Linked DNA regions of Kluyveromyces lactis. The protein of the gene in region 1 purifies or fractionates together with the protein of each later gene. This does not show direct contact. Links are inferred from orthologs where the notes say so. Each region holds a gene or a part of one and is shown in the gene's direction. Other genes may lie near its edges. The genes, in order: BUD20, NOG1, RSA4, ARX1, NSA2, NMD3 and REA1.

Region 1 (3,796 bases):
TACAGAAATTTGCCATACCTCATGCAAAAACTAAACCTTCAGTACGAAAAGGGCAACAATAAAAAGAATAACGAGCTTTTGTCAAGATGTGTCAGTGACGCTGTTACAGATATCTTATTTCCCATGTTAAATATTCAAGTGAAAAACGGGATGGACACAACATCTCAGCCACGTATACCTGGTATTATGAGTATTGTATTTGATGATGGCAGTGAAACCATCGATGACCAAAGGATAGATGAATCACATTTCCGGTACATTTTCTATTCAATGGTTCTAAAAGAAGTCCAAAGCTTCAATGGCCAATACAATAAAATGCACGTTCAGTATACTGAAGATCATATGAATTGTAACGGTACCGTTTATGAAGAGACTATTGGTATGTTCAAACTTTCTAATGGAACCAAACTAAGTGAATATGAATATCTCTTATTGACTATGCGGGACGTTCATCACAAGATTTGGGCTGATATCAAAAACTGCCCCATCCTTTCACTTTTCAATCACCTAATGGACAGCATTGCTGTTTCATCGACTCATATCGAACATATCTTCAGCATATCGTCGATCCTTACAAGTAAAGGGAGAGGAAGAATCTCACCTACAAGTTTAGAAAAAAGGATGAAGGCTAAGATTGCATATATGGCACTTGGAAATTACCATAAATTCGACTTGAAAAGTACATCATTGGATCAAATATTATTTGTACGTAAAACAGAATCCTAGTTTTTGCCAAGCGGATCTATATGTATTATTTACGTATGATTGTAATTGCCAAAGGATAGGTTTGTATCATTTTATTCGGGAGAATTGTCCATACTTGAGATTAAAGAGAAGGAAAGAAAAATGATATTGAATTAACTCCAAAACATAATGGTAAGCTAAAATAGTATGTAGGTTAGGTTACTTAAAATGACGATGAAATTATTATTGATTCAACACATAAAAAATTTAAGCCTTAGCGAAGTATTCTGGGAATTCTCTGATGTTTTCTTCCAAAGAACCCTTCTTGGACAAGAACTTGACAAAAGCACCATCGTCCTTAATTTCACCAGCGTCTCTCTTCTTAACGTATTCTTCACGGTTCAAAGAAGTGAAACCCCACTTCTTAGAGATAATGATCTTTTGTTGACCTGGGAACTTGTATCTAGCTCTTCTCAAACCTTCAATGACAGTGTCCTTGTTGTTGTCCTTGGTTCTGACAGAGAAGATAACTTGACCAATGGCAACTCTGGCAGCCAAACCGTGAGGCTTACCCCAAGCACCTCTCATACCTTGTTGCAATCTATCGGCACCGGCACAAGACAACATCTTGTTGATTCTCAAAACGTGGAATGGGTGGACTCTGACTCTTAAGTGGAAAGAATCTCTACCAGTCATCTTGGTGATGTACTTGTTAGCAGTAATACGAGCAGCTTCCAAAGCTTCAGAAGACAATTGTTCCAATTCATTGGAAACTAAGTGGACACACAATGGGAATTCATCGACAGTGGCCTTCTTCTTACCCAAATCATAAATTCTGATCTTAGAGTCTGGAACAGCTCTGTTGTATCTAGACTTTGGGTAAGGCTTGTTCTTTTGGTATCTGTAACATCTAGCTGGTCTTCTAGCCATTTTGAATTACTTTGGACGGTGATAGGTGATCGGTGTTCCTGTAAATAATAAACAAAATTGAAGCGAATGATCAAACCTTATGTTAAAGATATCGATAATTATCATTAAATTATGTTCTCTTTTTATTACATTTGAAAATCTCGATGATTACCACCAACTATTGCAGGAAGCTTTTGCATTTGTCAGAAACTTGAAAAAGATTGGAAAGTCGTAGCGAAGTCACACGGTAAGAAACTACTGTGAAAACAAATCAAAGAAAATAGTTACTAATCACGTGCTCTATTTCCTATTGTGGTTGTTTTTGTATCATAAAAATATGTTGAATGCCAATATGTAATAGTGTCTGGGTGTTGGGGATAGCAGTCCCAGATGCGTTGTTATGCACGTGATGCTGATTGAAATTTCATTTCTTTTCCAAGTCGATGAGATGAGATGAGATGAGACGAGACATGATATTGCAGAAAATTTTATGTACTCGGTGTTTCTACGATAAAGCCAAGTGCGAAGAAAGAAGTACAAACACACATCATTGAATCTCTTTCTCTATGAGACTTAGATACTCATTGGTTTTGTTTGATAGTTTAAGTTAATCTGTGGTACCAGCCTGTCAGAAATATAGGAGAAGGTAAGAAAGGAAAATGGGAAGATATTCTGTTAAACGTTACAAGACGAAGAGAAGAACAAAGGATCTTGATTTGATCTATGAAGAGCTTACATCTCAAAAGCAAATTGATAGTCTCCTGAATCAGCCGATAGATGAAACTAAACCGGGTCTAGGGCAATACTACTGCATACACTGTGCTAAATATTTCGAAACTGCATATGCCTTAAAGACTCATTTGAAGACTAAAATCCATAAGAGAAGGGTGAAGGAATTGAAAGGTGTTCCATACACTCAACAGGTAGCAGATGCTGCTGTTGGGTGTGGTGTGAACTCGTTCTTGGCTAGAGTAGAGCAGATCAAATCTCAAATTGGTCCTCAAAAGGAGGAAAACGAAAAGATATTAACCTCACATCTTGATACCACTTTGGCCAACGTCAGCACAACAGAATCCACTTTGCCATACCTTGATGGTGCAGTACAGGAACAAGCACAGCAAGAAGCTGTAGTTGCTGAAGGGGAAATTCAAATGGCTGATTAGATGCAGGAAAACATTTTCACTTCCTGTGCTTTTTCTTCAATGTATATTATCATTTAACACAAGAGAAATACACCGAAAGTGCAATTATATAAACTGGTAGATATACAGACGCTCATATATTAAGTGCTATTTCTTTCTTCAATATTATTCAATGGTTATATTTGTTTTATTTTTGCCTAAAATCAACATGACCAGTTTTCTCAGCGTGCTTGCTCACCTCTCGTTCTCCAATCAAGGTGGTGCCACAAGTATTGCATAAAATTGAATCTCTTGCAGTATTGAAAGACTTCCCCTCTCTTTTCATCTTCTTCGCGATCTCCTGTGTTTTTTGTAAAAGGAATTCAGTATCTTTCTCTCCGATGTCAAATACAGTTTGATGCTGAGTTCCATCAAATATCTCTACCGTATCATAATGAACTCCGTTATATGCTATAATAATAAATTTATCGTATAAATCCTCGTTGAATTTCTCGAATTTACGTGCATCCACATCGAGCACGTATATCGCATACTGAAAATGTTTCGATAATATTGCAATCTCGATACCACCTCCCCATGAAGAATGTTTCATTATCCACTCACTGTATTCATGATTCGGCCTGCCAAGAATAGCATCTGAATATTCAAATGGGTCTCTCCGGACTTCTGACGCCACAACTCCCCGTAGTTCTGATGACAGTGAAATGTTCTTGTAGACAGCATAGGATATAGCATGGAATAGACACGAATTGTCATCGGGCACTTCATGGAGTTGTAGTGCTCTAGTTGAATCTATCTGTACACTTTCAGATTTACCAGTGGGCTTCTTTTTCACTTCTTTATTGGGTAGTGTATTTGCTTTACTGGCATTAATACTTGGTTGTGTTCTGGTGGCAATAGCTTCATCGGCTTTACTCAGGCTCACTATGATCCGTTCCCCATTGCATATTCCTAGCTCTTCAAGTGTCTTAGCCTCATTCCCCTGAAAAAGTATACTCTGAGGTGGGAATCCGTACCGCATACTCTGCAATGATAGATCATCTTCATATGAGGACAGAATG
Region 2 (5,198 bases), on another chromosome or scaffold:
AACTCATCTTCATATTTAGAGCTTCTTCTATTAGAATTCTGCGATATTTCCTTCTGTGACATGTTGCAGAAGTTTGTAATATTGTGGTGCGGCCGTTCGCTCAGTTATAATACCTATACTAGGATTGGAAGCGAGTGGTATCCTGTTGGCATTATTTTTCTAACTGTTTGCAACTTCTGCTTTCATTACTGTTTTCATTACTGTTGCTGCGTTTTTCATTTTCTTACTTGACCTTAAATCAATTCATGCAAAATAAAACTTTAAAAGAAGGTGATTTCTAGTGTCAGAAACCAAAGATGTCACTACTGATATTAGTATGAGTACATATATCTATATTTATATATGTTTGTATGTTTATATGTGATATTAGTATGTGATTCTCACCGAAAGAATGAACATACACCTTCTGTGATAGTTAAATTGCTAATGTACAGTCTGGGATGGAAGTCCGTTACATTGAAGTTATTTTTGCTTCTTTGCAACTGATCTATGCTTTCTCTTTTCTTTCTTCAGGAAGCTATAGCATTCCTTTTCACCAAATCCATATAGCGGTTTGAAACTTTCTATAACACCGCAATCTTCGAACAAGTTTGGGAAGAGCCAGAACCCACCCTTCTCGCTAACTGCAGCTAATGACAACAAGTAAACTATCAATCTCACAATTGCAATACCAAAGAATACACCGATAAGTGCCAATGCTGCAATGGATAAGTAGTAAGTACCACGTTTCATATATGGAGGCCATAATGGGTAACACACGAATGCTAGCACACCGACTATGATACCGATCACAGTCAAGTAATCATAAATTGATTTTGGATTATAAGACCAGACGTAATATTCATCTGGTTGTAGAGTCGCTTTATTCGATAATAATAAGTTTGGATATGATTTGTTTGGCTTTAGACCATGTTCTTTACATTCTGCAGAATGTAATTTAACCGCTGGTACGACAAATTGGGCCTTGATTAAGGAAACAAAAATGTTACGAGCATCTTCATCGCTTGTCACAGCGGGGTACAATTCGGGTTGTTTTTTGGACTTTGCCTTATATTTATCACTTTTCAAAGCTCTAACAAATCTTTTATAACGGAAGAAGTCAACTAAACGCGATTGGAACAATCCTTGTCTTTGCTTCAAGTCGCTATGAGTCCTGAGTAGATTGGCAATGGCTATCGTAGATTGTGGGCTTGGTTCCGACATAGTAACGAAACAAATCTATATTTGAAGAGAAAAATTCAAAAAAAAAAGGCGGATAAGGCAATTCTACCGGAAATTAGGCAATTATCAGGTAGTGATTAGAAAGTTATAATGAATCTAGAGATTGGACTCAAGCTGTATTCTTTCAGATCAAAATCTCATTGATATTTCTGTATATATTGAAAGTTGAAACGTAAACCGTAAATAAAATGTTCACATACATTTTAACAGTAAAATATATTGTTACCCCGACAGTCTCAAAAGAAAGTGCTTTAGTCACGTGACATAACCAATGTGTATGCCTTTAACGGTCAATTCTGAGATCCATACGAAAAAGAAATCCTGAAAGCACAATTTTTTTTTTCTTTTCAAAGGTTTGCAGTAGTGGGAAAATTTTCCAAACGGCAAGCTCATCTCATCTCATCTCATCTCATTGTGCATTCGAAGTGATAGACAGAGCTTGATTATCAGTGTGACATCCGTTTGACAGGTAGTTTGAATAGATTGGAAGTTTGTTCAAACAACTAAGCATAGCTTAACTGCATTATTGCTAGTTTAATTGTTTTTTGTTGTCCCCGTGTGTGCGTGTATCCCAAAGTTTACGTCAAATCAATTAAGCAACAATGCAATTATCCTGGAAAGATATTCCGACCGTGGCTCCTGCCAATGACTTGTTGGACATTGTGTTGAACAGAACTCAAAGAAAGACACCTACTGTTATTAGACCAGGTTTCAATATCACTCGTATCAGAGCGTTTTACATGAGAAAGGTGAAGTTCACCGGTGAAGGGTTCGTGGAAAAATTTGATGATATTTTGAAAGGTTTCCCTAATATTAACGACGTGCATCCTTTCCATAGGGATTTGATGGATACTTTGTATGAAAAGAATCATTTCAAAGTTTCTTTGGCTGCTGTGAGTCGTGCTAAGACATTGGTCGAACAAGTTGAAAGAGATTACACAAGATTGTTAAAATTCGGTCAATCTCTTTTCCAATGTAAACAATTGAAGAGAGCCGCTCTTGGTAGAATGGCTACCATTGTGAAGAAGTTGAAGGATCCTTTAGTGTATTTGGAACAAGTTAGACAACATTTGGGTAGAATGCCATCCATCGACCCAAACACCAGAACTTTGTTGATTTGCGGTTATCCAAATGTGGGTAAATCCTCTTTCTTGAGATGTATCACTAAGGCTGATGTCGAAGTGCAACCTTATGCTTTCACCACCAAGTCGCTATATGTGGGTCATTTTGATTATAAATACTTGAGATTCCAAGCGATTGATACTCCAGGTATCTTGGATAGACCTACGGATGAAATGAACAACGTCGAAATGCAATCCATTTATGCTATTGCTCATTTGCGTTCTACTGTTATGTACTTCATGGATCTATCAGAACAGTGTGGTTTCTCTATTGAAGCTCAAGTCAAATTATTCCATTCGATCAAACCATTGTTTGCCAATAAATCCGTCATGGTCGTCATTAACAAGACTGATATCATTAAACCTGAAGATTTAGACGAAGAACGTAAGAAACTTTTGGATACTGTTTTGGAAGTTCCAGGTGTTGAAATCATGACCACTTCTTGTCATGAAGAAGATAACGTTATGGCTGTTAGAAACAAGGCTTGTGAAAAGTTGTTGGCTTCCAGAATTGAAAACAAGCTAAAATCTCAAGCTAGAATCACTAACGTCTTAAACAAGATCCACGTCGCTCAACCTCAAAAGCGTGATGATGGTATTGACAGAACTCCATATATTCCAGAAGCCATCGCTAAGATGAAGAAATATGATCCAGAAGATCCAAACAGAAGAAAATTGGCTAAAGAAATTGAAATCGAAAACGGTGGGGCCGGTGTATACAACGTTAATTTGAAGGACAAGTATCTATTGGAAGACGATGAATGGAAGAACGATGTCATGCCAGAAATCTTAGATGGTAAGAACGTTTATGACTTCTTGGATCCAGAAATCGCAATCAAATTACAAGCTTTAGAGGAAGAAGAAGAAAGATTAGAATCTGAAGGCTTCTATGAATCCGACGAAGAAGAAACTTACGAAGGATTTGATGCTGACGAAATCTCTGAGATCAGAGAAAAGGCAGAATGGATTAGAGATAGACAAAAGAAGATGATCAATGCTTCAAGAAACAGAAAGGCATTGAAGAACCGTGGTACCATGCCTCGTTCTAAATTGGCAAAGACATATGGTGACATGGAGAAGCACATGTCTTCTTTAGGTCACGATATGACTGCTTTGCAAGATAAGCAAAGAGTCGCTGCTGAAAAGAACAGATATGAGCAAACTGGTGCTGACGTGGTATACGGTGATCAAGAAGATTCTGCTCCAGCTGGTAAGCTAAGACAGACAGATAGATTGACAGACGGTGTTGCTGATGGTTCAATGAGATCGAAGGCTGAAAGAATGGCCAAATTAGAAAGAAGAGAAAGAAACAGAATGGCCAGAGCCGGTGAATCTGACAGACATGCTACTGCCTCTCTACCAAAACATTTGTTCTCAGGTAAGCGTGGTGTTGGTAAGACTGATTTCCGTTAAACTGTCTGTTCTTCCTTCCTTTCCATCACTGGTGATTTCGAACATATATTATCGTGTTGCCAATTTCTTTTCTATCTCTATTGAACTATATATATTAGTCACTACTTTCATTTATTTGTCTGCATTGGGTGGGTTAAATTTAATTATTACTCCTTTATTTGTAAAATAGTTACGTACTCTGTAAAATTATAAGAGTTATACCTTTGATTTGCTTTTCCTTGACCAAATAACCAACATCCCTCTGACCTCAGTAACAATTTTATCTTTGAAAGTTATTGACTAATCTTGAAGAATAAAAAGGATGAAAATTGTAGGATCTAAATAAAATAGAAAAAAAGGAAACACTGACATAAATATTTCACCAAAACAATCTCAGTATACCTGGAATATTTAACCGTCGACCAACATCATTTTGCTTGAGTTATATTTGATTGCCTCTATTATTTCTCTATCGGTTTATCAGGCGACAGTTTTTTTTTTCTCTCTCCTATGTGCCCTTAGTACAGGGCAAGAAAAAAAAGGACGGCTTCACAACACACATCTAGGTAGGCCTCTTTCACAAAAAATTGACTCTCAGTAACATATAAGCCATGAGATTTTAGCACTTGAAAGTACGGGTGACATAAAAGCTCCAATAAAACTCTACAAAACGATATATGCTCTTTGTATATGTCAATTGTAAAAGGTGCTTTCCGTCTGAAAAGTGTTCGTATGATTTTCGAAGAAAAATTCCCGGTGTCAGTTTTAAGATGTCACAAAATGAGCAAATAAGAGAGCATTGAGCTATAAAGACTCATATTGAAGGTAAAACAAGATATTCAGTTTTGCTCTAACAACGCTTTGGAGCATATCCAAGACCATTGGCTCAAATACCAGATTTTATAAATAAAGAGTCTTAATTTATCGCTATACAAGTATGGGCGTGAATCGAAGTAACAGTATTCTATCATCAGGGTCTCACAACAGCAAGACAATTCAAAATATCGAAAAAAAAATGGAAGGCTTACCATCGCCGTTGATTACAGCCTCTAATATATCGATAAACCCAAATGAGAATCGTTTAGAAAAAGAGTCTGATATGACAGATATCAGTGAAATAAAAGACACAGATTTTGATAGTGACAAGTCGAAGGAAGAGCAAAGTTCTATAGTACGCAACGAGAAACATCCAGAAACGGCTTTCACAGCTCTAGAACCTGAAATTGCATATAATCCACCATATAGTGCGTTTTCAAACTATCAGGTTGTGAGCATACTATTAATTATAATTTACATTGGGTTCTTAGGACCCGTGACAGGTAACATTTACATTCCCGCACTACCTATTCTTCAATCCGAATTTAATACTAGCACAACTGCTATCAATGGTACAGTTGCTGCATTTATGGGTGTTTTTGCAGTAGGACCCTTCTTGTGGGCAGTACATGCTGATTTTGGAGGTAG
Region 3 (4,541 bases), on another chromosome or scaffold:
TGTATTGAAAAACTTCGGCAGCGTACAGAAGAATGTCACTTTACAGACTAACGAGAGTGTCTTTTTCAACATAGCATACTTGTTCGTGAAAGATTTTGCAAAAAACTTCCTTCTATTAAATGTCGCTACACCGGAAACTAAGGCAATTATTATTCGCCTTATGATTCAGATCAGCATAGACTGGTTAACTTTTGTTCTTGATGAATGTGATCCGGCCAATCCAGAAACATTTAGATGGTGTGTCCCAGCAATGGAATTTGCTATGCGTATGACCAACGGATGGAATATTTTGGGGATTGAGGAGAAGGAATTCAAGTTGTTGAAAGAGAAGATTGCTAGATGTATGTCATTGTTAATATCTCACTTCGACATCACAGGGGCAAGATCCAGAGAAGCTGAAAGGATTGATGCTCAACAAACAAGACCAAACTTTGATATCGATGATGCTGACGATGATATGATTTTGGCTGTTAATTCAGAGATGCGTATGAATGCAATAACAGATATGGAAAAGGTTGTCAAAGTCAAAAGGCATTATTCTGTTGGTAAAGTTATTGATGATACCGATAATCAAAGCAAATTGTTGAAATCTCTTGCTTCTTCAATATCTAACCTTTCTATTAGATGGCAAAAGCGTAGCTTTATCGGAAGTGGTAGCTTTGGTACTGTATATTCCGCTGTTAACCTAGATACTGGTGATATTTTAGCGGTAAAAGAGATCAAAATCCAAGATGCTAAATCCATGAAGCAAATTTTCCCATCTCTCAAAGAAGAAATGCGCGTCATGGAGATCTTAAATCACCCGAATATTGTTCAGTACTATGGTGTGGAAGTTCACAGAGACAAGGTTAATATCTTTATGGAATTCTGCGAGGGTTCCTCCTTAGCCAGTTTACTCGAACATGGCCGGATTGAAGATGAAATGGTAACTCAAGTTTACACACTACAATTACTTGAGGGATTGGCATGTTTGCACCAATCTGGAGTTGTGCACAGAGATATCAAACCGGAGAATATCTTATTGGATCGTAATGGCGTTATCAAATATGTAGATTTTGGTGCCGCAAAACTCATTGCAAAGAACGGATCAAAGAGGATATCACTGGATGCCAATAACAAATCTACAGGCGGGAAAGATATGATCGGAACACCGATGTATATGGCACCAGAAACGGTGACTGGTCAAGGACACGGAAAATTCGGATCCGATGATATATGGTCTTTAGGTTGTGTTGTACTGGAAATGGTGACCGGTAGACGTCCATGGGCTAACTTAGACAATGAATGGGCTATCATGTATCATGTTGCAGCTGGTCACCTTCCGCAATTCCCAACCAAGTCTGAAATTTCATCTGCGGGTAGAAAGTTCATAAGCAGATGCTTAATACAAGATGCCAATAAAAGAGCAACTGCAATGGAATTGTTACTTGATCCCTGGATTTCTCAAATACGTAACATTGCATTTGGTGGCAATGCAGAATCTTTTAATAATGAAACTCATAACTAGTTCTGATAGACATAAAAGTTTCCTCCCCATGACGATCATATGTAACAATTGTAACCATAGATTTTTTTTTTGTATAAGTATTGTATGTATATATAATAATAATAGGAACTTTTGTTTGACTTTTTTTTAAACAATGCCGGATCCGTATAGTATCAATGTAACATGCACTTTCCGTTATCTGTGAGTTGCTTGCCAGTAAGTAAATTGCAGTCTAGGAATTTTTTGTGCCTGATGCTCCCCATAAGGTATTCAGAGCATAGTTTCAACATAATAAAGATTTATATTACCCGGAAGTGGTGAACTAAAAGAAATTCTTAAGTTCAAGAAAATCTTTTGAGATGCCGATGAGATGAGATGAGATGAGCTTCAACTACCAAGTCGACTTCCCTAAAAAGGAGAAGGTTCTGGTGAACGATATTAGTATTCCAGCAATAATCACAGGTCTTTTCTCGAAAGAAGTTTTTAGGTAATTAAACGAGCCCAAAATAATTCTCTGAATTTGTTAGGCCAAGCAATCCAAACGAAACATGGCAACCTTACTCCCACCGCCTTCAAAGAAGCAAAGAAGAGAAGCTCAAGCTGAACGTGGAGTTGACCTTATTCCCAAAGACCTTCCAAATGTTCTCATTAAATTCCAAGCTTTTGACAGTGGTGAAACTGTTGGAGGTTCTCTAAGGGTTCCAGGTGGTATTTCGGAGCAGCAACTGGAGGAATTGTTGAATCAGTTAAATGGAGACTCGGCAGATCCTGTTCCATACACGTTTAGCTGTTTAGTTAGCAACAAAAAGAAGGATGCAGATGAGGAAATGGTAGATATTAGAGATAATCTATATCAATCCATTTTAAAACCAGGTTTGAAAACTACCGAAGATTTTTTGACTCTAGTGTATACCCCAAGAGCTATCTTCAAAGTAAAACCAGTAACTCGGTCGTCTTCTGCAATTGCTGGTCATGGCTCGACAATTTTGTGTTCTGCATTTGCTCCAAATACAAGCTCCAGGATGGTTACCGGTGCTGGTGACAATACTGCATGTATCTGGGATTGTGACACTCAAACGCGTATGTGCACGTTACAAGGCCATCACAACTGGGTCCTATGTTGTTCCTGGTCTCCAGATGGTGAATTAATCGCCACAGGTTCTATGGACAACACAATTAGATTATGGGAATCAAGCAAAGGTAAGCCTTATGGTGATGCTTTAAGAGGTCACTCGAAATGGATTACCTCCTTATCTTGGGAACCAATCCATCTTGTCAAACCTGGTGACAAACCGAGATTAGCAACTGCATCCAAGGATGGAACTATCAAAATCTGGGATACAACAAGAAGAGTTTGCCTTTTAACCTTATGTGGCCATACGTCTTCTGTTTCCTGTGTCAAGTGGGGTGGAAAAAATGTTCTATACAGTGGTTCTCACGATAAAACAATCAGATGCTGGGACATGAATTTGAACGGTAAATGTATCAATATCCTAAAATCACACGCCCATTGGGTTAATCATCTTTCACTTTCAACAGATTATGCATTAAGACTCGGTGCGTTCGATCACAAGGGCGAAACTCCTGCTTCACCTGAAGAAGCCCAACAGAAGGCTCTGAAAAATTACGAAAAAGTTGCTAAAAGAAAAGGTGACTTCGAAGAACTGATGGTAACTGCCAGTGACGATTTTACTATGTATCTGTGGAACCCCTTGAAGTCTACTAAACCTATTACCAGAATGACCGGCCACCAAAAGCTCGTCAACCACGTTGCATTTTCGCCAGATGGCCGTTACATTGTTTCTGCATCCTTTGACAACTCCATTAAATTATGGGATGGAAGGGATGGTAAATTCCTATCCACCTTTAGAGGACATGTAGCGAGTGTCTACCAAGTAGCTTGGTCAAGCGACTGTAGACTACTCGTTTCTTGTTCCAAAGATACCACTTTAAAAGTCTGGGATGTCAAAACTAGAAAACTGTCCGTCGATCTACCCGGTCATCAAGATGAAGTCTACACTGTAGATTGGTCTGTAGACGGTAAACGTGTATGTAGCGGTGGGAAAGATAAAATGGTCAGGATATGGACTCATTGAGTGGATCCACTGCATCTGAATAATTAGCATGATTAAATTATAGACTGCCTTATGTATGTTATAGCTTCTTTTACATTTATTATGAGGTGCACAGGTGTCCCTTCTTCTTACAAGCTGAAAATTTTGAAAAATTAAAGCTTCAAGCATAGTTGAAAAGATGAAGAACGATTCAGCCGGCATTTACCATAGGAAATCGATAAGTTATCTATATAGTAAGAAAGGTGTACACCGGGAAAACCTGCATAACCACACAACAGCCTACTAATAATACAACGGCTAGTTAATAATGCTTACAAGAGTTACAAGAAGTTTTGCGGCTATGAGCCCAAGATCATTTCGGATTTGTACTAGACTACAATCAACCCAAGCACAGCAACCACAACAACAGGAAAACTCAGAAATTGAGCTTTTAAATGAACTTAAATCAGAAATGGACAAATTGGGACCATTATCTGATGCCGAAAGTGCCGAACTCAGTGCTTTATTTGACAGTCAAAGTCCTTTTACAGTATTCCCAAAACTTGAAGACGTAAGCCCCGAGGAAGTAGTGGGAGCCGCTCCATTTGGGAAGAAAACATATTTCATTCAAAGAAGTATTAACGGAAATTTACCTGTGTACACTGACTACAAAAACAGCAATAAGATTGTCACCGAAATCAGAAAGATTCAAGGGGATCCTGTGCAGCTAAGAAACGATCTACAAGAAAGGCTTCCTTTCATTCCAAAGAAGTACTGGAAGGTGATACTTCAATCAAATAAAATTATCATTGAAGGTGATGCCACGAAGCACGTGAAGAGGGCTCTGGCTACCACCTTTTGAGCTTATTCCCATGACTTTAAAACTTACAGGAGATGCGTATGTAAATATTCTTACATGGTTGTTTCTTCCTGCATGTGATAAAAACTGTAAATAGTGTCAGTAATAATAAGATATATTAACGACTTAGATATATACATCG
Region 4 (4,742 bases), on another chromosome or scaffold:
TCGACTTGCTCATCGACGTACTTTCTAGCAGCCTTGTCGTAAGCCTTAATTTCATCTTCCGTGGCGATACCCAATTCCAATAAGTGCATCTTTAAACCTGCAATTGGATCGTTCTTAGATCTCATGTGTTGGATTTCATCTCTGGTTCTGTAAGTAGTACCTGGATCAGACATAGAGTGACCACCATATCTGTAAGTTTCGTATTCAAGAACGATTGGACCGTTACCGGAGACAGTCCAGTCCTTAGCGAACTTGGAAGCTTGGTAAACAGCCAAGATATCCATACCGTTAACCTTCAAACCAGGAATGTATTGACCACGCTTGAAGTATTCAGTCATGGCTGAAGATCTTGCGGCAGCGGTACCCATACCGTACTTGTTGTTTTCACAACAGAAGACGGCTGGTAAGTTCCATAACTTGGCCATGTTGAAGGATTCGAAAACTTGACCTTGGTTAGAGGCACCATCACCGTACAAGGCAAAAGAACAAGCATCTTCGTGTTTGTATTGATGAGCGAAGGCCAAACCAGCACCCAATGGGACTTGGGCACCAACGATACCATTACCACCGTAGAAACCAGGGGCGTACAAGTGCATGGAACCACCCTTACCGAAGGACACACCAGTTCTTCTACCCATCAATTCAGCCAACACAGCTTGAACAGCAGCACCTCTCATGTAGGTGAAACCATGACATCTGTAAGAGGTGATGACGGTATCACGCTTAGTGATAGCGTTTTCAATACCAACGGCAATGGCTTCTTGACCGACAGAGGAGTGACAGAAACCTCTAATTTTCTTAGCCTTGTACAAAGCGTCACAGGCCATTTCCATTCTTCTAACGATAATCATATCCTTGTACATTTGTAGCAAATTGGACTTGGTGGTTTGATAACTTAATTCAGGAACATCCAAAAGATAACCTTCAAAAGAGGTTTCTGGCAAATCAATTTGAACTAGGTCATCATCACCTGGCTTAGTTTCATCAGCAACCTGGGACAAAGCACGGACGTTTTTAGAAAAGTTTCTAACCAATCTCAAAGAGCTGGACTTCCCAACCACAGAGGATTGAGCTTTCAAAGATAGCATGGTTTGCCTAATTTATTGTTCTTTTCGGTATTAACTACTATAGCGACCAACAATTAGAACACACAAATACACACTCAGCAGTAGTGATGGCAAAATATGTTGTATAGAGAAGAAATAAAGAAGAAGAAGCTCTGAGTTCCTGATTCTATATTAAAACAAAAAAAAGCCAACTAATGAACGATTCCTTGTTCCAAAAAATTTGACAAAAATCAATCAATCAATCAATCAGTCAGTCAATTAATCAATTGCTTGGCTCAGTATCACTGAAAGACCAAAAAAAGGTTCTTAATCACGCAACAACTGTTTCTCATCATATTCACAATTAAATCCGCCTTTAAATACTTGTGAACTTGGGAAAAAAACTTCAAAAAATTTCGTAGCCAGCCAGTCGGTATAGATAAGGGACTTGAAATAACAAGAAGTGGGTATAAGCAAGGTCAATTTTGCTCTAATTGGGGTCAAACTTGAACCGTTGGGTAGCTGATGATGCGGAGAGTATTGATATTCTACTTATTATGGGATATCTGACAGTTTCGTCTGGTGTAGGTAGAGTTTATTGTGCTGATTCAATTAGACAGACGGGATTGTTGTTAGAAAGAGTGGGAAAAGTGACGTGCACAGCGCGGTGTTTGGGTGGAACATGGGCAGCAGATCTATTACCCGGATAATATGCGGGTCATGAGTTCTAATGATACACATTACCCGAATATTAATACTTTTGGCGCACGTGATCAGAAAGTGATTTCTTTTTCATTCTCTTCTGATCGAGGTCCGGGTAATATTTTGGAAAATTTTTTGAAATATCTTAGTGCTGTGTGGCAGGAAAGGTTGTATCCAGGAAAGAAATTTGGAAAAAAAAAGTATCAGTGAAAACTTTAAAGCGATGAGATGAGATGAGGTAAAGAGAAACGAGGTACATACTTACATCATTATCATAGTGTATCGTTCCCTCCTTTGTATCAGAAAACAGCTAATACTAATAATTTGTGGATAAAATTATCCGTACTATGGCGTTACAAATCTCAAAGGAAGACACTCAGGTGTTATTGAAAGATAAGAATGTATTGATCGAACCAACAATTGAGAAATATAGAACTGCAGGTCAAATTGCTCAGACTGCTTTAAACTTTTTGATCAGTTTGATCAATAAGATGTATCATGAGAAGTCTATGGAGCCGCTACCGATTCATCAACTTTGTTTATTGACTGATTCGTTCATAGCCGATTGTTTAAGTACTAAGTTCAACAATAAGGTTAACGAGAAGGGAATCTCAATGCCAACTTGTATTGATATCGATGAAATAAACGAGAACTGGTGTCCTGAAGTGGATGACATCGAAAACTTGTCCCGTTGGAACCAAAAATCTAGATCTACCAAATCGATCGAGCTATGTAACGGTGTTACTTCTAGTTTGTCTGGGTTTTTGAAAGTTGGTGATGTCGCTAAGATCACTTTGGGTTGTCACATCGATGGGTACACTTGTAACGTGTCCCACACCGTGGTCATTTACCCAACCGTTCAGGATGCCCAATCTGGAAAATTGCTACCTGAAGCTGCTTTGCTAGGTGGTAAAGCTGATGCTCTAGCTGCCACCCATATCGCTGTTGAGTCCGTCACTAACTTATTAGCTGCTGCAAACGATTTGACCAAACTTCCAGCTGATTTCAACGCTACGAAGGTCACTGGTTCCTTGATTAGGACCGTAGTTGACACCATTGCTCAATCTTATAATTGTTGCGTTGTGCCTGGTTCTCGTATCAGAAGAATCAAAAGATTCCTTTCTGGTCAAAACGAAAATATCATTGTCGAAAGAGACTTCAAAGGTGTCATTTGGACTGAGTCTCATCAGGAAGCTGCTATGCTTGCTAGAACCGTCAATGAAACTGCTGTTGATGTCAAGCGTAAGAACCCATTTATCACCGAAGATACCGTGGTCCCAACAGATGATTTTACCGTTGTCAAGGGTGAAGTTTACATGATCGATTTGAAGTTGGCTCCATTGCAAGGATTGGAGCCAGGTTTGATCACTTTACACACTGTCGATCAATTCTCCGGTAAATCTGAATCCTCTGATGTGGTGGCTAGACCAGGTGCCATCTGCCGTGATTTTTCAAAGAGCCATGTTCTAAAGTTAAGAGCTGCTAGACAAGTGTTGACCAGATTGGATAAACAAGGTGTATACCCTACCAAATTAGCTCATATCGCTGATTCTTTCCCATTGGACGTACAGGAGCCTGATTTCGAAACCATCAAGCAAGAAATCAAGCCATTCAGATTAGGTCTTTCTGAAATTTCTAACAACTACCTAACAATCGACAGAGATGTCACCATCGTAAAACACGTTCCTTGGGCTAAGATCTTGGATCTAACAAACCCATCCGGTGTGTCAAGTTATGACGCCATGGCAAAGAATAAAGGTTTATACCCAGGTTTCGAGCTTCCTCTACCTAAACTAGGTTTGTCCAACCTACAGTTGAAATCCTTGCTAAAAAAACACTCTACGCCAGTTCCTGTGGTCCGTCAATGTGTCACTGTAGCCATCTGTGATGAAGAGTTGCTAAGAATCAGCGGAAACCTAAAATCTAACTGGGTTCATTCTGTTTACTCTATGGATACTGCAAGCAATATCGTTGCAGGTATATTCAAACTGGCTCAATTGTCCGAGGATAAGAGATTTGGTTTGAAGATCAGAGAAACTCAACCATGGAAAATGAAATTCTAATTTATTCATTACCAGTATTAACTACCTTCTTTGATAGAACTACTTCAACAGATAACAAATTCTATTTCATACACAAACACCCTTTTCGCATCTGCACACAATAACTCTACATTGATACACCAGTTCATATTATATTCAATACTCGTTTGATTTCGGTAGCCCAAGAGTCTTGTTCTTATGAGTCTTTATTCTTACCAACCAATTGCAACAAAAACAATGTATAAATAGCAACTTCTAAGTATCTTGTAGATCTGTACACTAGCAAAATCATAATAGAACTCAAGCTCTCAACTTTGTCATTAGTTCTTCTACTATTAGTGTGTTTGCTTCGGAAGGATTATCAAAACGTTCAAAATGATGGCGGCTAATTAGATTTTAGTATAAAAAGGATTTGGAGTCAGAAACCAAATCAACAAACCCAACTACCAATGAATATGACATAGCGAGATATCTAGTGCACATAACTAGGAGCGAGAAGGTGATCCTAAAAACCAATAACTTTGCATTTCATTCTACTTGAAACGTCCCATTCCATTTCTATTTAAGCTGTCATGTCTACAGAGACAGAAACTAAAACCAATGTGGTCAATATTGATGAGTTACAAAACTTCGGAATTAACGCGTCTGATATAACTAAATTGAAGACTGCTGGTATATTTACCGTTAACACTTGTTTGTCGACGACCAGAAGGAATTTGTGTAAAGTTAGAGGGTTATCGGAAGTGAAGGTAGAAAAGATTAAAGAAGCTGCCAATAAAATCATCACCATTGGCTTTATTCCAGCAACTCTGCAATGGCAGATTCGTCAAGCAGTTATGTCTATCTCTACCGGGTCGAAACAATTCGATTCTGTACTAGGAGGAGGAATAATGACAATGTCCATAACTGAGGTGTTTGGGGAGTTTAGGTGCGGTAAGACTCAATTATCCCA
Region 5 (3,863 bases), on another chromosome or scaffold:
TTGGTACGTTTGCTGCAATTCTTCAAGTGAGTTTGCTTCATCGGTCTTCTTCTTGTCGTCAGAACTCGCGTCATCCCTGTCCTCTTTCTTATCATCAGATGATGATGGCTTTTTAGAGTCAAAGATCTTATTAACCCATTGATCCCAGGTACCTCGCTCTTTCCTTTGTAGCTCCTCTATGCGTTCTTTGAGTGGCTTAAGACTAACCAGAGACTCGTGATACTCTTTTGGGTATAGAGGCTGTACAAACTGCGGGTTATCAACTAGATGTATATCGCATGTATAAAACCAATCAGGTCCGCTTCCATTGAACAAAACTGTGACTGTAGGGTTACCACATATCAGACATGCTTTCCTATCCTTTGCTGAGACTTTCTTTCTGGTGTATTCGTTCTTCATCAGGGGCGCTGGAAGTTGTACGCTGGTAGGAGATTAGTAGGGGTGATAGGTGGTGATTATATCTTGCAAAGTTGGAACGCTTAGATTGTATTAATTAATTATTGGTGATTACACCTTGATATGAAGAAAACGAGACAAAACGAAACGAAACAAACCACATCAAAGCTAGAGTTTGAGCAGTGCAACACCGTTATCATTCGATTTATAAACTACGTATTTGACACTATATGATGACAATAGAGACGTATGGATATTTTAGCCTATTTATACATAGAAAAAGAAGGACCTCAGGTTTACAACTTCTTCTTGGCTCTTTCCCAAGCATTTCTAGATTTCTTATTACCTCTTCTGCTTGTACTATCCTCCAACTTACGCTTGGAGTTGAAGATACTGAAATCTTCACCGGCGATCATATTAACCTTGGCCATGATTTCTCTTTGTTTTTTCATTCTCTTGTCAGTCTTGGATCCGTTGGGGTTCAATCTAGTGAAATTTTCTTCTTCGAATCTTTGAACATCACGTTCACGTTCTGTATCTCTTGCTGTCTTCACACCACCTCTACCATGGTTGACGATATTGGCACCGATAGAAGTTTCCCATTCCGGTTGTTCCGAGGAATCCTTCAAGTATTCTTCCATAGCTTGCATACGAGACCTGCTACTCTTATCCTTATGTTCTTGTGCGTTGAATTTATCCTCGAAGTGATGTTGCTTTGGTGGCAGAACGGCACTGATCTTAGGTGGTCTATAAACGTTATCTTTATCATCCACATCTTCTTCATTGTGAGTACTCTTGACAGCGATTTTCCCCTTGGCTTTCCCTCCAACTGATGTGTTATTGACCATTCCTGAACTGTTCGGCCTATATTGCATCTCTTCTTCACTATCAGAATCTGAGTCTGATACTTCTTCCTGGGAAGCACGTACGTCACTCAGTCCCTGCAATTCGGCTCTTTTCTTGGATTCTTCAACGTCTTTCTCCAGTCTAATGTACGCCCGCGTCAATTTATCCAGCTGGTACCCTAACTTCTTCTCCAAGGGCTTCACACCTCTTTCAAGAACAACTCGTTGTTCCACTGCCCTGACTCTACCCTCATCAACAACCATCTCTTTATTCAATTTCTGTCCCAATACCAACAGAAGCGAATTCAAATACGATAGCATACTCCCATTCTTCAAAGAAAGTAGAGAAACTTTTTCTAATTTATCACCTTTGTGACCTACCACCGCTGAACCTTGGAAAGGATGGGTCTCCTCATCATCATAGACTTCTTCTAACTTATCCAAGCTTTCTCCACAAGATTTCAAAGAATCTCTAATCGTTTTCAAAACAGTTCCTAACTCCTCAGACATGGCTATATTTCCGCTGTAACCCTTGTCAATAGAATGTAATGAGGTTTTATACATCAATAACAGTAGATCGAACCTATGCCAAACCCACACCAGACAACCAAACTTGTATCTGGCTGATACCCATCTCATCTCATCTCATCGCTTGATTCCAAATTTTTTTTTTCACTACGTTTCTTTTCGACATTTCCTATTGAATTTTTTTCTTTCAATGAGAAAAGCATACAAAGACAACTTGAACAACTAGCTCATCGCATGGGTTAACATGTGGTAAGAAGTCCATTCAAGGAGTCCGTGTGTCCGTTTGTGATTTAGAAGTAAGTCATCACCGAACAAGTCGTTCTTACAATAAAACAAAGATGCCTCAAAACGAATATATCGAACAGCACATCAAGCAACATGGTCGTAGATTAGACCACGATGAGAGAAAACGTAAGAGAGAAGCCCGTGAGGCTCATAAGATCTCTGAAAAGGCTCAGAAATTGACTGGTTGGAAGGGTAAGCAATTTGCTAAGAAGCGTTATGCTGAGAAGGTTGCTATGAAGAAGAAGATCCGTGCTCATGAGCAGAGTAAAGTTAAAGGAGGGTCCAAACCGTTGGATGAGAACGGGGAGGCTTTGCCTACTTATTTGTTAGACAGAGAACAGAACAACACTGCAAAGGCTATATCCAGTTCCATCAAGCAGAAGCGTTTGGAGAAGGCTGACAAGTTTTCTGTTCCTTTGCCTAAGGTCAGAGGTATCAGTGAGGAAGAGATGTTCAAAGTTGTTAAGACAGGTAAGTCTAAGTCTAAGGCATGGAAGAGAATGATCACGAAACATACGTTTGTTGGTGAAGGGTTTACAAGAAGGCCTGTGAAGATGGAAAGGATTATCAGACCTAGTGCTTTGAGACAAAAGAAGGCTAATGTGACGCATCCGGAACTTGGAGTCACCGTTTTCTTGCCAATTCTTGCGGTGAAGAAGAATCCTCAATCGCCAATGTACACACAGTTGGGTGTATTAACCAAGGGTACTATTATTGAAGTGAACGTCTCGGAATTAGGTATGGTTACTTCTGGTGGTAAAGTGGTTTGGGGTAAATATGCTCAAATCACGAATGAGCCAGATAGAGACGGTTGTGTCAACGCTGTGCTACTTGTGTAAGAACAAGTACAACCTATTACTACCAAAATTCCTACTCATCTCAATTATTCCCTATTGCATCACCCCCCACTCCGCTACGTTATTGTATATTACTATTTCATTTTAGAACTGAGTTCCCTTATTAGAAAGTACTGGCTAAATCATCATTATTTAATCATATATTTAGCGTTAAATACTGAATTATAGCCAATGAGACTGACAATTTCATGCCTCGCTGCCGTTGAGATACCAGCTATTCCAATGCATTGAACTAATTGCTACTCACACGTCGTGTCAATTGACCTTCTGGACCCTCAGGTTACCCTAAGTATTCATCTTTATTGTTTCACAATAAAGTAGGGTACTACCCTACCAAATCATACCAAATAATTTTATCTATATATATATATATATTCAGTATTATACATACACATTCTTTGCGCTTGATATACACAAACTTACCTTCAAAACAGCACTTATTAGGTCAGATTCTAGCACTGGTCCATATACAGATACTAGCGTCGACGTTGTTCAGGAAAAGAACATCATTGATCCCACTGGAAACGAAGTAGTTCCCCAGATCAAATTGATTTCTGGATCTACGTTCTAGTTTTCACCACAGAAACTGATCCGTAAGCAATCAGTGCTTTTTCCAAACCCCACCAGTATGTATTGAAATTTGTCCTAACGGACAGCCCCTTTACCCATTAACCTTTACCTTCTTTCCCCCTGTTCTGCATCTACAGAAAGCTTTTGCCAATTAATGATCCAACTTGAGTCTCGTTTAAATTACTGTTATAGTGATACTGAAAGTAGCACTATACAGATTCTCATATTAGAACTGTTGCAGGTGACTACAGTACCTTTGATCCAGCCTCTTCGCTCAATCCAACCCTCTTTTTGATTCACATTCTCGTCCTGATTTAGAAGTGCCGGACAATAATCCTGGCCACGGTGGACTTCTCTGCCTAACAGCTATTTCGATCGTGAA
Region 6 (4,580 bases), on another chromosome or scaffold:
CATACTTATACCAGATATTGACCAGTGAGAAATACGTCAAATCAAGTTGCATTATTTTCGTTAATCGTACCGTAACGGCTGAAATCTTAAGAAGAACTTTGAAATCTTTAGATGTAAGAGTCACGTCACTTCATAGTCAAATGCCACAACAAGAAAGAACGAACTCTGTACAAAGATTCAGGGCACAAGCTGCGAGAGTTCTTATCGCTACTGATGTCGCTTCTAGAGGTTTGGATATCCCTATTGTTGAACTTGTTGTAAACTATGATATTCCTGGCAACCCAGATACTTTCATTCATAGAGCTGGTCGTACAGCGCGTGCCGGACGCCATGGTGAATCACTATGTTTTGTAACAGAAAAGGATATTCAAAGAGTAGAGGCAATTGAGGAAAGGATTAATAAAAAGATGGAAGAGTTCACCGATGTAGGTGATACAGCCGTGATTAGGAAGTCGTTAACTAAGGTTACAGCAGCAAAAAGAGAAAGTCTCATGGCCATGGATAAAGAAGGTTTTGGTGAAAGAAGGAAACTCCAAAAGAGAAAGAATGAATCCAAAGAAAAGACTCATAGACGTACATAAACTCACATAGTTGATAGACCTATCCACATATTCCATTTAAAAATCAGTCACGTGAATTCTGATTCTTCCTTAGAGAGTAATCACTGAAAAAAAAATGGTAACTTATTCTTTGAAGCGATGAGATCGAACCAGATGAGATGCATCGGCCGCCATAAAGGTATACTCTTACAATCTAACAAGTAATACAGACTCACCAAGCCATGTCAAGAGCTCAGGAGATAAAAGAAAAGCAAGCACTACTTGCTAAATTTCAAAATGGGTTTAGCAGTTCCACTGCTAAGGTGCTCGGATGGATAGAGGATTCTAAGACGTCATCTAATGATCTAGCAAAGGAGGATAGCAACGAATCAAAGAAGGAATTTTTCCAGTTGCCTGTCATTCAAATAGGAAGCGGTTTATCATTTGAGAACGCGCAAAGTACTGATGATACCGATATACATACCATTGGAGAGTTCATCAAAAGTGATAAGAAGGTCAGCTCTTTAGCCAAAAAGAAAAGAGCTACCAAGGACGTGCAACAGAGAAACAGTATACACAGAGTGAGGAAAGACGACTCCCAGGCTATGGTTTCGTTAAAACATAAGATAAGGAATCAGGAAAGACAGAAGATACGTAACGAGCTTCCGAGAGGCACAAATGTTTCGAAAGACCACAGTAAAAACCAATATTATACCAAATCGACTTCATCGCATTCCGACTCTTCCTCGGATGAAGAAGATATGGAACCTAAAGTACAAAAACATTCCAAGAAACAATTTGGCTTGCTATTTGCTGGAAAGAAATCCAAACGTTGAACGTGTTAATCATTCTTTATAAAGTGTAATTCTCCTGTATATAGACTAGCTTAATATGCATAGATGCATAAATCCAAGGTTCAAAGTCACGTGCAAAATTTCTTTTTCTTGAGGGTTCGCAGTCTCTTTTAAGAAAAATTTTGAGAAAGCTCATCTCATCGCATCTTGTTCTTGCACAGTCTGATAGTGCTTGAAAGCTGATTAATGTCTGCATTATAGGTATTCCAGCAAGGGCAGAAGTATCCACCGAACTCGATGAATTACACTCCGTTAGATCAGAATCACATGCAACATCAGCATGCTACAGTGCTATGTTGCAGTTGTGGTGTGCCTATGGATGGGTCCTCAGGGCTAGTTATGTGTTACGACTGTATTAAGTTGAATGTCGATATTACAGAAGGTATTCCCAGAGAGGCTAATGTTTCTTTCTGTAGAAACTGTGAGAGGTTCTTGCAACCACCAAGCCAATGGATTAGGGCTTCTTTGGAATCTCGTGAACTTTTGGCGTTGTGTTTACGTCGTTTGAAAGGCTTAAACAAAGTTCGATTAGTGGATGCATCATTTATCTGGACCGAACCTCATTCTAGACGTATCCGGGTCAAATTGACCGTTCAAGGTGAAGCTATGGCTAACACTATTATCCAGCAAACATTTGAAGTGGAATATGTGGTGATTGCCATGCAATGTCCGGACTGTGCTAGATCTTATACCACTAATACATGGAGAGCAAACGTCCAAATTAGACAAAAAGTTCCTCATAAGAGAACTTTCTTGTATTTAGAACAGTTGATTTTGAAGCACAATGCCCATGTTGACACCATTTCCATTAGTGAGGCAAAGGATGGTTTAGATTTCTTCTATTCTCAAAAGAACCATGCTGCTAAGATGTTGGATTTCTTAAATGCTGTCGTACCTATCAAATGTAAAAAATCCGAGGAGTTAATCTCTCAAGATATCCATACCGGTTCATCTACTTACAAATTCACTTTTTCCGTGGAAATTGTTCCAATTTGTAGAGATGATTTGGTTGTTTTACCTAAGAAGCTTGCCAAGTCTTTGGGTAACATCAGTCAATTTGTCATCTGTTCCAAGGTTTCTAACTCTCTCCAGTTCCTGGATCCAACCACTCTTCAAACGTGTGATTTGACTGCTCCAATGTACTGGCGTGAACCTTTCAGTGCATTAGCTGAAGTGTCCCAACTAGTTGAATTCATCATATTGGACGTTGAACCTACTGGTCAAGTTAGAAACAAATGGGTATTGGCTGACGTTACTGTCGCTAGATCTTCCGATCTAGGCTCCAATGACCAAGTCTATTACGTTAGAACACATCTTGGTGGTATTATTCATCCTGGTGACAGTGTCATGGGTTACTTTATCGCTAACTCTAACTATAACTCAGAGCTCTTCGATGGTTTAAATATTGATTACGTGCCAGACATCGTTCTAATCAAGAAACTATATCAAAGAAAGACAAAGAAGAACAGAAAATGGAAGTTGAAGAGAATGGCTAAGGAACACAAGGATATCGAAGCTTCTCAAGACTACACTTCAAGACAACAGAAACAAGAAATGGAACGTGCTGAAAGAGATTATGAGATTTTCCTACAAGAATTGGAGGAAGATGAGGAAATGAGACAAACAATCAATCTATATAAGAGCAACAAACCAGCAGAGCACGAAGGCGAGATGGAAGAAGATGAAGATGAAGATGCTCCACAAATTGATATTGATGAACTATTAGATGAGTTGGATGAGATGACTTTAGAAGATCAACAACAAGGTGAAGAAATGCTATAGAATTTGGTTTAGTCTCTTCTTGTTTGGACAATAATTACAATATATATTTACGAGATAGGCAAGTTAGTTGAATTTACTCATCATCTGCATTAGATCAATGATACAATGGCCGTCTTGTATAGTGTACACTAGTGAATATTAATAATTGGCATGTTTCAGGGTAACAATGCTTTCCTGAGTTTAGTTCATTCTTGTAAAAAAGACGTCGATTCGTAATACTACCCTGATACACTATACCCTTAACTGCAGTGCATAGATAAATAAAGTAAACCAAGAAGTACTATTCTTTCTTCATGGAACAAAACCTGAGTACCAGGAAAGATGCTTAACGATCTTAAGTTTTCACCAGCTTTTAAGTCTTTTGTTGATACCTCGTTTTTCCATGAATTATCAAGATTAAAACTTGAAGTGTTCAAGTTAGACTCTGCTGAGAAAGAATTGTTCTCTGCACTAGACCTTGAAAATATCACTTCTAACACTGTTTCACTCTCGCTTAGAGATGACAGTTTCGATCCTGTTCTCAATAATGAGGCAGTGACTTTGAAAGGGTCAGTGTTGAATTTTAATACTATCGAATCATTCAAATCCTGTGACAAAGTAAAGTTTATCAAGGAAAAGGGACAGCAATTACTAGAACAGGGCCTCAAGAATGGTCTCAAAGAGTGTGTTAGGTTTTATGTCATAAGCTTCGCCGATTTGAAGAAATATAAGTTTTATTATTGGGTTTGTATGCCTACTTTCCAGTCTGAGGGGTCATCGTACGAAATAATCTCAACAAAATCAATCGAAGATGGTGTAAAGAAGGATATATGGGAGCAGAACAGCTTTATCTCCTGTGTTGTGGATGGAAAGATTCAGGAAGCATCACCTCAGTATCTCAAAGTATGTCAGAAAGTCATCTTCAAGGACTTCAGTCGGCTGAAGGGCATTCCTGCCGCAGTTACTAAGAACTTTCTAACGGTTTGGAGTCAAATATCCACAAGGAATACGTACACCATATGTTTCCTTCGTGATGATAATTCCAGCTTCGCGGCAGAGATCAGAGTTACCGGGAGCAATACAGGATGTCTTAAGGTCAGCGGTTGGGAGAAAAATGGTCTTGGAAAATTAGCTCCGAAATCGGCTGACTTAAGCTCATTGATGGATCCCGTGAAGATAGCAGAACAATCCATTGATCTCAATCTCAAGCTAATGAAATGGAGGATTGCTCCTGACATTGATCTAGAAAGAATAAAGAACATTAAAGCATTGATCTTGGGGTCAGGTACCCTAGGTTGCTACGTGGCTAGAGCTTTATTAGCTTGGGGTACTCGTCATGTAACTTTTGTCGACAACAGCACTGTCTCTTTCTCTAATCCGGTAAGGCAACCATTATTCAACTTTGAAGATTGTGGGCGACCAAAGG
Region 7 (3,916 bases), on another chromosome or scaffold:
TCCTCAAAAACCAAAATGTTGGCTCTCACGATGTGGAGGAGATTTTAATTCATTTCTTGAATTTATGTTATGCCCACAAAGATAGTGAAAGCATGATTGATAGTTTGAATGAAATCCTACAGCCACTATATTATAGATGGTCATTGCGAAGAATGAAAAGTGAGCAAGAAGCAGAGCAAAAGAACAGCCTTTTTAAGTTCAATGACAATTCAGATGACATTGAGGCCGAATTTAAGGCAATGTTCCCAGATTACGAAGATTCAGTTTCACTCGATTCTCCTGTTGAGGAATCATCAGCCACATCTTTAATCGATACGTACTACGAGATCGCTAAAATTTACATTGAAATATTCGAGGACGCTTCAAATGTTTCCTTGAGTCAAGTGATGAGAAAAGGATCTGAAACTTCTGTTATTTTGCTACGAAGTTGCTCTGATTTCAAGCTATATAACTTGAACGAATCAATGGTTCTTGCTGCCATCAAGACTTTGTCTGAGAAAACTAATTCTTTCAAAGATTCTAGCAACACTGAAATATTTGACTTTTACAGAGGCACTTCGAGAATTGAAACCAAAAAGGCACAGCATGTAATCCAAGGTTTGTGGAACAATGTCAACACTTTACTCAAAGAATGGCCCGAGCATGCAACGTTGCGGGATCTTTTCCGCGTCTGTAAAGAATTTATTTCTTATCCTGTTTCAACACCAATGGCAAGACTCTTGCAGAAAATAGAGCAAATTTACACCTTCGTGGTGGAGTGGCAAAAGTATGCATCTTCTAAAGTCTCCCTACAGGCTCACGTTGACTCAATAACTAATCTCATAGTTTCTTGGAGAAGGTTGGAACTACACACTTGGAAGGCTTTATTCCAAATGGAGGATATGAACAGTACAAAGACCATTGGAAATTGGTGGTTCTATCTTTTCGAAACGATTATAGTGGGAACAGAAAATGCCAATATTGACGTTTCTGAGAGATCTGGTTCCCTTCTTTCTGCTTTGAATGTTTTCTTCAGTAAAAGCACTTTGGGAGAATTCGCAAATCGTCTAAGACTTGTAAAAGCATTCTGCAAACATGTTTCAGTGATGCATGGAAAGACATCAATAATTTCACAAGCCCTCCAAAATATCATCTCCTTCTATGAGCAGTTTACTTCTGTTGTTAACGACAAAATAAAAACAGGAAAAAAGCTTCTTGAAAAAGAGATATCAGAGGTGATTCTTTTGGCAAGTTGGAAGGATGTGAATATCGATGCTTTGAAGCAAAGCTCTCGCCGGTCTCACAATAGTTTGTTCAAGATTGTTCGCAAATATAGAACGCTACTTTCCGAACCCTTAACTTCTATGATCGAAAGCGGAATAGATTCCGCTCTGCCAGTAACTAAACAATTTGAAAGAGTAACAATCTCCCACTTCAGGTCTATCGATGTTTCTGGGGCCAAATCTATTGTCACAAATATTCCGGGATGGGAAAGTAGATCAAAATCTTTAAAAGATATCTACATCACACAGAAGAATCTTTCTATTTATATTTCCAAAATCACGAATCAAAATTACCCAGATTTGTTAGAGTATGCCCTTTACATCTCAAAAGAAGCGAAAAGGCTTCGTGAAGAAACCCCTACAGTCTACAAAAAGGAAAAGAAGAAATTATTGGCTACCTTGAAGACCCAAAAGAGTAAATTACTCAGTGACTCCTTAAAGGAGCTCAAAAGAATTGGTTTGAAATCAAACTTTAGAGAAGATATTAGAAAAATCCAACAAAGTGTTGTATCAGTGTTGACGAACTCAAAATCATTTAGAGAAACCGCGATAGATTCTTCTGATGTCTATTTCTTTAGAATTTTGGACCTGCTTCCACGATTGAAAAATGCAATTGCTTTCCCAACAGACGATATTCCAGTGTCCTACTTGGAAAAAGGTATGGCCATGACCGAGAACTTAATTTTTTCGTTGATTGCCAGCAGACAACCGCTCTCTATATTTGTGCACACTTATAGTAAAATTGAATCCCTGAGATTAGACCTTGAGAGTGTTTCCCTGGATTGCCATGTTTTGAAACATTTCGATCTATCTTATAATTTTGGAACGTTCAGGCACATATGTAAGTGGTTGCCTCAATTGATCGATTACATTCTTGAGTACGTGGAAGACAGTACAGCTCATGAGGTTCCAAGATCCACTGTTTCATATTTATACTCGTCTAAACAGAAACTTCTAGATTTCTTAGCACAATCTGAAATGTTTAGGATATACAGTGATACCACTGAAAACATATTGGAAAACTTCAATGCCTTCCTTAAGGAATTTATTTCTGCTATATCAGCTATGAATGGTACAAACTCATTCTTTGTGTATGATCTTTTGGAATCATGGCTTCAACAAGCTCTTTCTCATGGAGATGTTATCTTTGATACTATTGACCCTTCGCTGGAAGAACTTGATGGAAAATTACGCCGGATCAGTACTGCCATTTTAATTTCTGTCCAAAAACTAGTTGAAAACAATACTACTCCCATATCTGAAGAGGATGATAAATGGCTAATCGAGCTTAATAGAAGAATTGTCTCAAATATCAAGATTGCTAACTGCAACAAGATCTTTGCTTTGATTGATGATCTTGTCACTACAATTAAGTCAACGTCATTTACGGCAGAATCATCTCCAATGGTTGCTGCAGCTGTTTCATTTACCATGCCATTTATCAATCACTATTTCAGCATGTTGAATGACATTTTGAATACAACTTCAGAGAATTATTTCAAATTTAGCAAATCGACTTATATCTTCTCGAATATGCTATACAATCTCGCTAAAGATGGATTCTGTTCTCCAGAGCCTCCTTCAGAAGAGACCGAAGATAACAATTTGCAGGAGGGTACAGGTCTTGGAGATGGAGATGGAGCTCAAAATAATAGCAAAGATGTTGAAGAAGATGAGGATTTGTTAGAAGATGCTCAACAACCGAACAAGGATCAACGAAATGACAGCGACGAAGACGACGAAGAAAAAGAAGATGATGCTGTTGAAATGGAAGGCGATATTGCCGGAGACCTTGAAAATGCATCTGATCAAGAAAACGAAGAAGAAGATGATAACAACGAGGACGATGAAGACGAGCTAGATGAAGAGATTGATAATCTTGACGAGGATGATCCTAATGCATTGGATGAAAAGATGTGGGAAGAGGAAGCTGAAGATGATTCTAAAGAGAAGGATTCCGAGAACATGCCTGAAAAATCTAATGCCGATGATGTACAAGCATCAGAGGAACAAGCAGAAGATGATGTCAAGCCGGAAGACCACCAACAAAACCAAGAAACTGATGAAATGGAAACTGAAGAAAAAGATAACGATGATGACGGTGAAGAGCAAGAAGAAGAGGAAGAAGATGTTGGAGAACAAGAAGATGAAGTTAGAAATGATGAAAACGAGAATCTCGAAAATAACGTCCCGGAAGTAGAAACAATGGACCTACCAGAGGACATGAATTTGGATTCTGACAAAGATAATGAAGAAGATGGCTCTGAAGAAGAAGAAGAAGATTTCGAGGATAAAATGGAGGTAGATGAGGAGGAAGAAGAAGGTAAGCAGCCAGAAAATACAGAAAATGAACAAACGAACATTGATGAAGAATCTGACGCTGATGAAAACCGCGAATCAGATGAAGACGTTGATATGGATGGAGATGATAATAGTGAAACCGAAGAGGCTCTTGATAAAGAGGATGATACAGAGAAACCAGATATCAAAGAAGAAGCAATAGCAGATTCAGACAGTGAACTTGAAAACCCGCAAGATGAACCAAAACAAGAAGGAGGTGAAGATGAAAAGGGTGAAGATGTAGAGGGCCTCGACGGATTAGAGGGTGTAGAAGATGACAAAGATCAAATAAATACAGATGCTGCTGTCGAACA

The links.
Region 2: the proteins of BUD20 (region 1) and NOG1 purify together in Saccharomyces cerevisiae (affinity purification with mass spectrometry; 7 studies listed by BioGRID, with this or other methods). This does not show direct contact. The link is inferred for Kluyveromyces lactis from reciprocal best matches to the Saccharomyces cerevisiae genes BUD20 and NOG1.
Region 3: the proteins of BUD20 (region 1) and RSA4 purify together in Saccharomyces cerevisiae (affinity purification with mass spectrometry; 5 studies listed by BioGRID, with this or other methods). This does not show direct contact. The link is inferred for Kluyveromyces lactis from reciprocal best matches to the Saccharomyces cerevisiae genes BUD20 and RSA4.
Region 4: the proteins of BUD20 (region 1) and ARX1 purify together in Saccharomyces cerevisiae (affinity purification with mass spectrometry; 10 studies listed by BioGRID, with this or other methods). This does not show direct contact. The link is inferred for Kluyveromyces lactis from reciprocal best matches to the Saccharomyces cerevisiae genes BUD20 and ARX1.
Region 5: the proteins of BUD20 (region 1) and NSA2 purify together in Saccharomyces cerevisiae (affinity purification with mass spectrometry; 7 studies listed by BioGRID, with this or other methods). This does not show direct contact. The link is inferred for Kluyveromyces lactis from reciprocal best matches to the Saccharomyces cerevisiae genes BUD20 and NSA2.
Region 6: the proteins of BUD20 (region 1) and NMD3 purify together in Saccharomyces cerevisiae (affinity purification with mass spectrometry; 7 studies listed by BioGRID, with this or other methods). This does not show direct contact. The link is inferred for Kluyveromyces lactis from reciprocal best matches to the Saccharomyces cerevisiae genes BUD20 and NMD3.
Region 7: the proteins of BUD20 (region 1) and REA1 purify together in Saccharomyces cerevisiae (affinity purification with mass spectrometry, with the first as the bait; 4 studies listed by BioGRID). This does not show direct contact. The link is inferred for Kluyveromyces lactis from reciprocal best matches to the Saccharomyces cerevisiae genes BUD20 and REA1.

Annotation. Positions count from the first base shown.
Region 1 is NC_006040.1:485,839-489,634, reverse strand, and holds BUD20 (Bud20p), read left to right. Parts: upstream 1-2,252; coding exon 2,253-2,756; downstream 2,757-3,796. Other genes in the region: RPL10 (60S ribosomal protein uL16), read right to left, coding at 952-1,614; ubiquitin-specific protease OTU1, read right to left, coding at 2,923-3,796. UniProt on the Saccharomyces cerevisiae protein: Involved in pre-60S ribosomal particles maturation by promoting the nuclear export of the 60S ribosome. Involved in positioning the proximal bud pole signal.
Region 2 is NC_006041.1:2,149,316-2,154,513, reverse strand, and holds NOG1 (putative GTPase NOG1), read left to right. Parts: upstream 1-1,823; coding exon 1,824-3,755; downstream 3,756-5,198. Other genes in the region: FZO1 (mitofusin), read right to left, coding at 1-62; Sec63 complex subunit SEC62, read right to left, coding at 463-1,203; DTR1 (Dtr1p), read left to right, coding at 4,672-5,198. UniProt on the Saccharomyces cerevisiae protein: Involved in the biogenesis of the 60S ribosomal subunit.
Region 3 is NC_006039.1:747,703-752,243, forward strand, and holds RSA4 (Rsa4p), read left to right. Parts: upstream 1-2,034; coding exon 2,035-3,582; downstream 3,583-4,541. Other genes in the region: mitogen-activated protein kinase kinase kinase SSK2, read left to right, coding at 1-1,507; IMG2 (mitochondrial 54S ribosomal protein mL49), read left to right, coding at 3,869-4,402. UniProt on the Saccharomyces cerevisiae protein: Involved in ribosome biogenesis. Required for processing and efficient intra-nuclear transport of pre-60S ribosomal subunits.
Region 4 is NC_006042.1:1,097,775-1,102,516, reverse strand, and holds ARX1 (putative hydrolase), read left to right. Parts: upstream 1-2,095; coding exon 2,096-3,811; downstream 3,812-4,742. Other genes in the region: PDA1 (pyruvate dehydrogenase (acetyl-transferring) subunit E1 alpha), read right to left, coding at 1-1,088; recombinase DMC1, read left to right, coding at 4,363-4,742. UniProt on the Saccharomyces cerevisiae protein: Probable metalloprotease involved in proper assembly of pre-ribosomal particles during the biogenesis of the 60S ribosomal subunit. Accompanies the pre-60S particles to the cytoplasm.
Region 5 is NC_006041.1:1,204,864-1,208,726, reverse strand, and holds NSA2 (rRNA-processing protein NSA2), read left to right. Parts: upstream 1-2,107; coding exon 2,108-2,893; downstream 2,894-3,863. Other genes in the region: VFA1 (Vfa1p), read right to left, coding at 1-399; small subunit rRNA maturation protein LCP5, read right to left, coding at 693-1,880. UniProt on the Saccharomyces cerevisiae protein: Involved in the biogenesis of the 60S ribosomal subunit. May play a part in the quality control of pre-60S particles. Under normal, rapid growth conditions, high levels of NSA2 would allow the progression of pre-60S particles through the ITS2 processing.
Region 6 is NC_006037.1:458,168-462,747, reverse strand, and holds NMD3 (ribosome-binding protein NMD3), read left to right. Parts: upstream 1-1,630; coding exon 1,631-3,175; downstream 3,176-4,580. Other genes in the region: ATP-dependent RNA helicase DBP8, read left to right, coding at 1-581; NOP19 (Nop19p), read left to right, coding at 782-1,375; ATG7 (Atg7p), read left to right, coding at 3,497-4,580. UniProt on the Saccharomyces cerevisiae protein: Acts as an adapter for the XPO1/CRM1-mediated export of the 60S ribosomal subunit. Unlikely to play a significant role in nonsense-mediated mRNA decay (NMD).
Region 7 is NC_006042.1:1,841,204-1,845,119, reverse strand, and holds part of REA1 (AAA family ATPase midasin), read left to right. Parts: coding exon 1-3,916. UniProt on the Saccharomyces cerevisiae protein: Nuclear chaperone required for maturation and nuclear export of pre-60S ribosome subunits.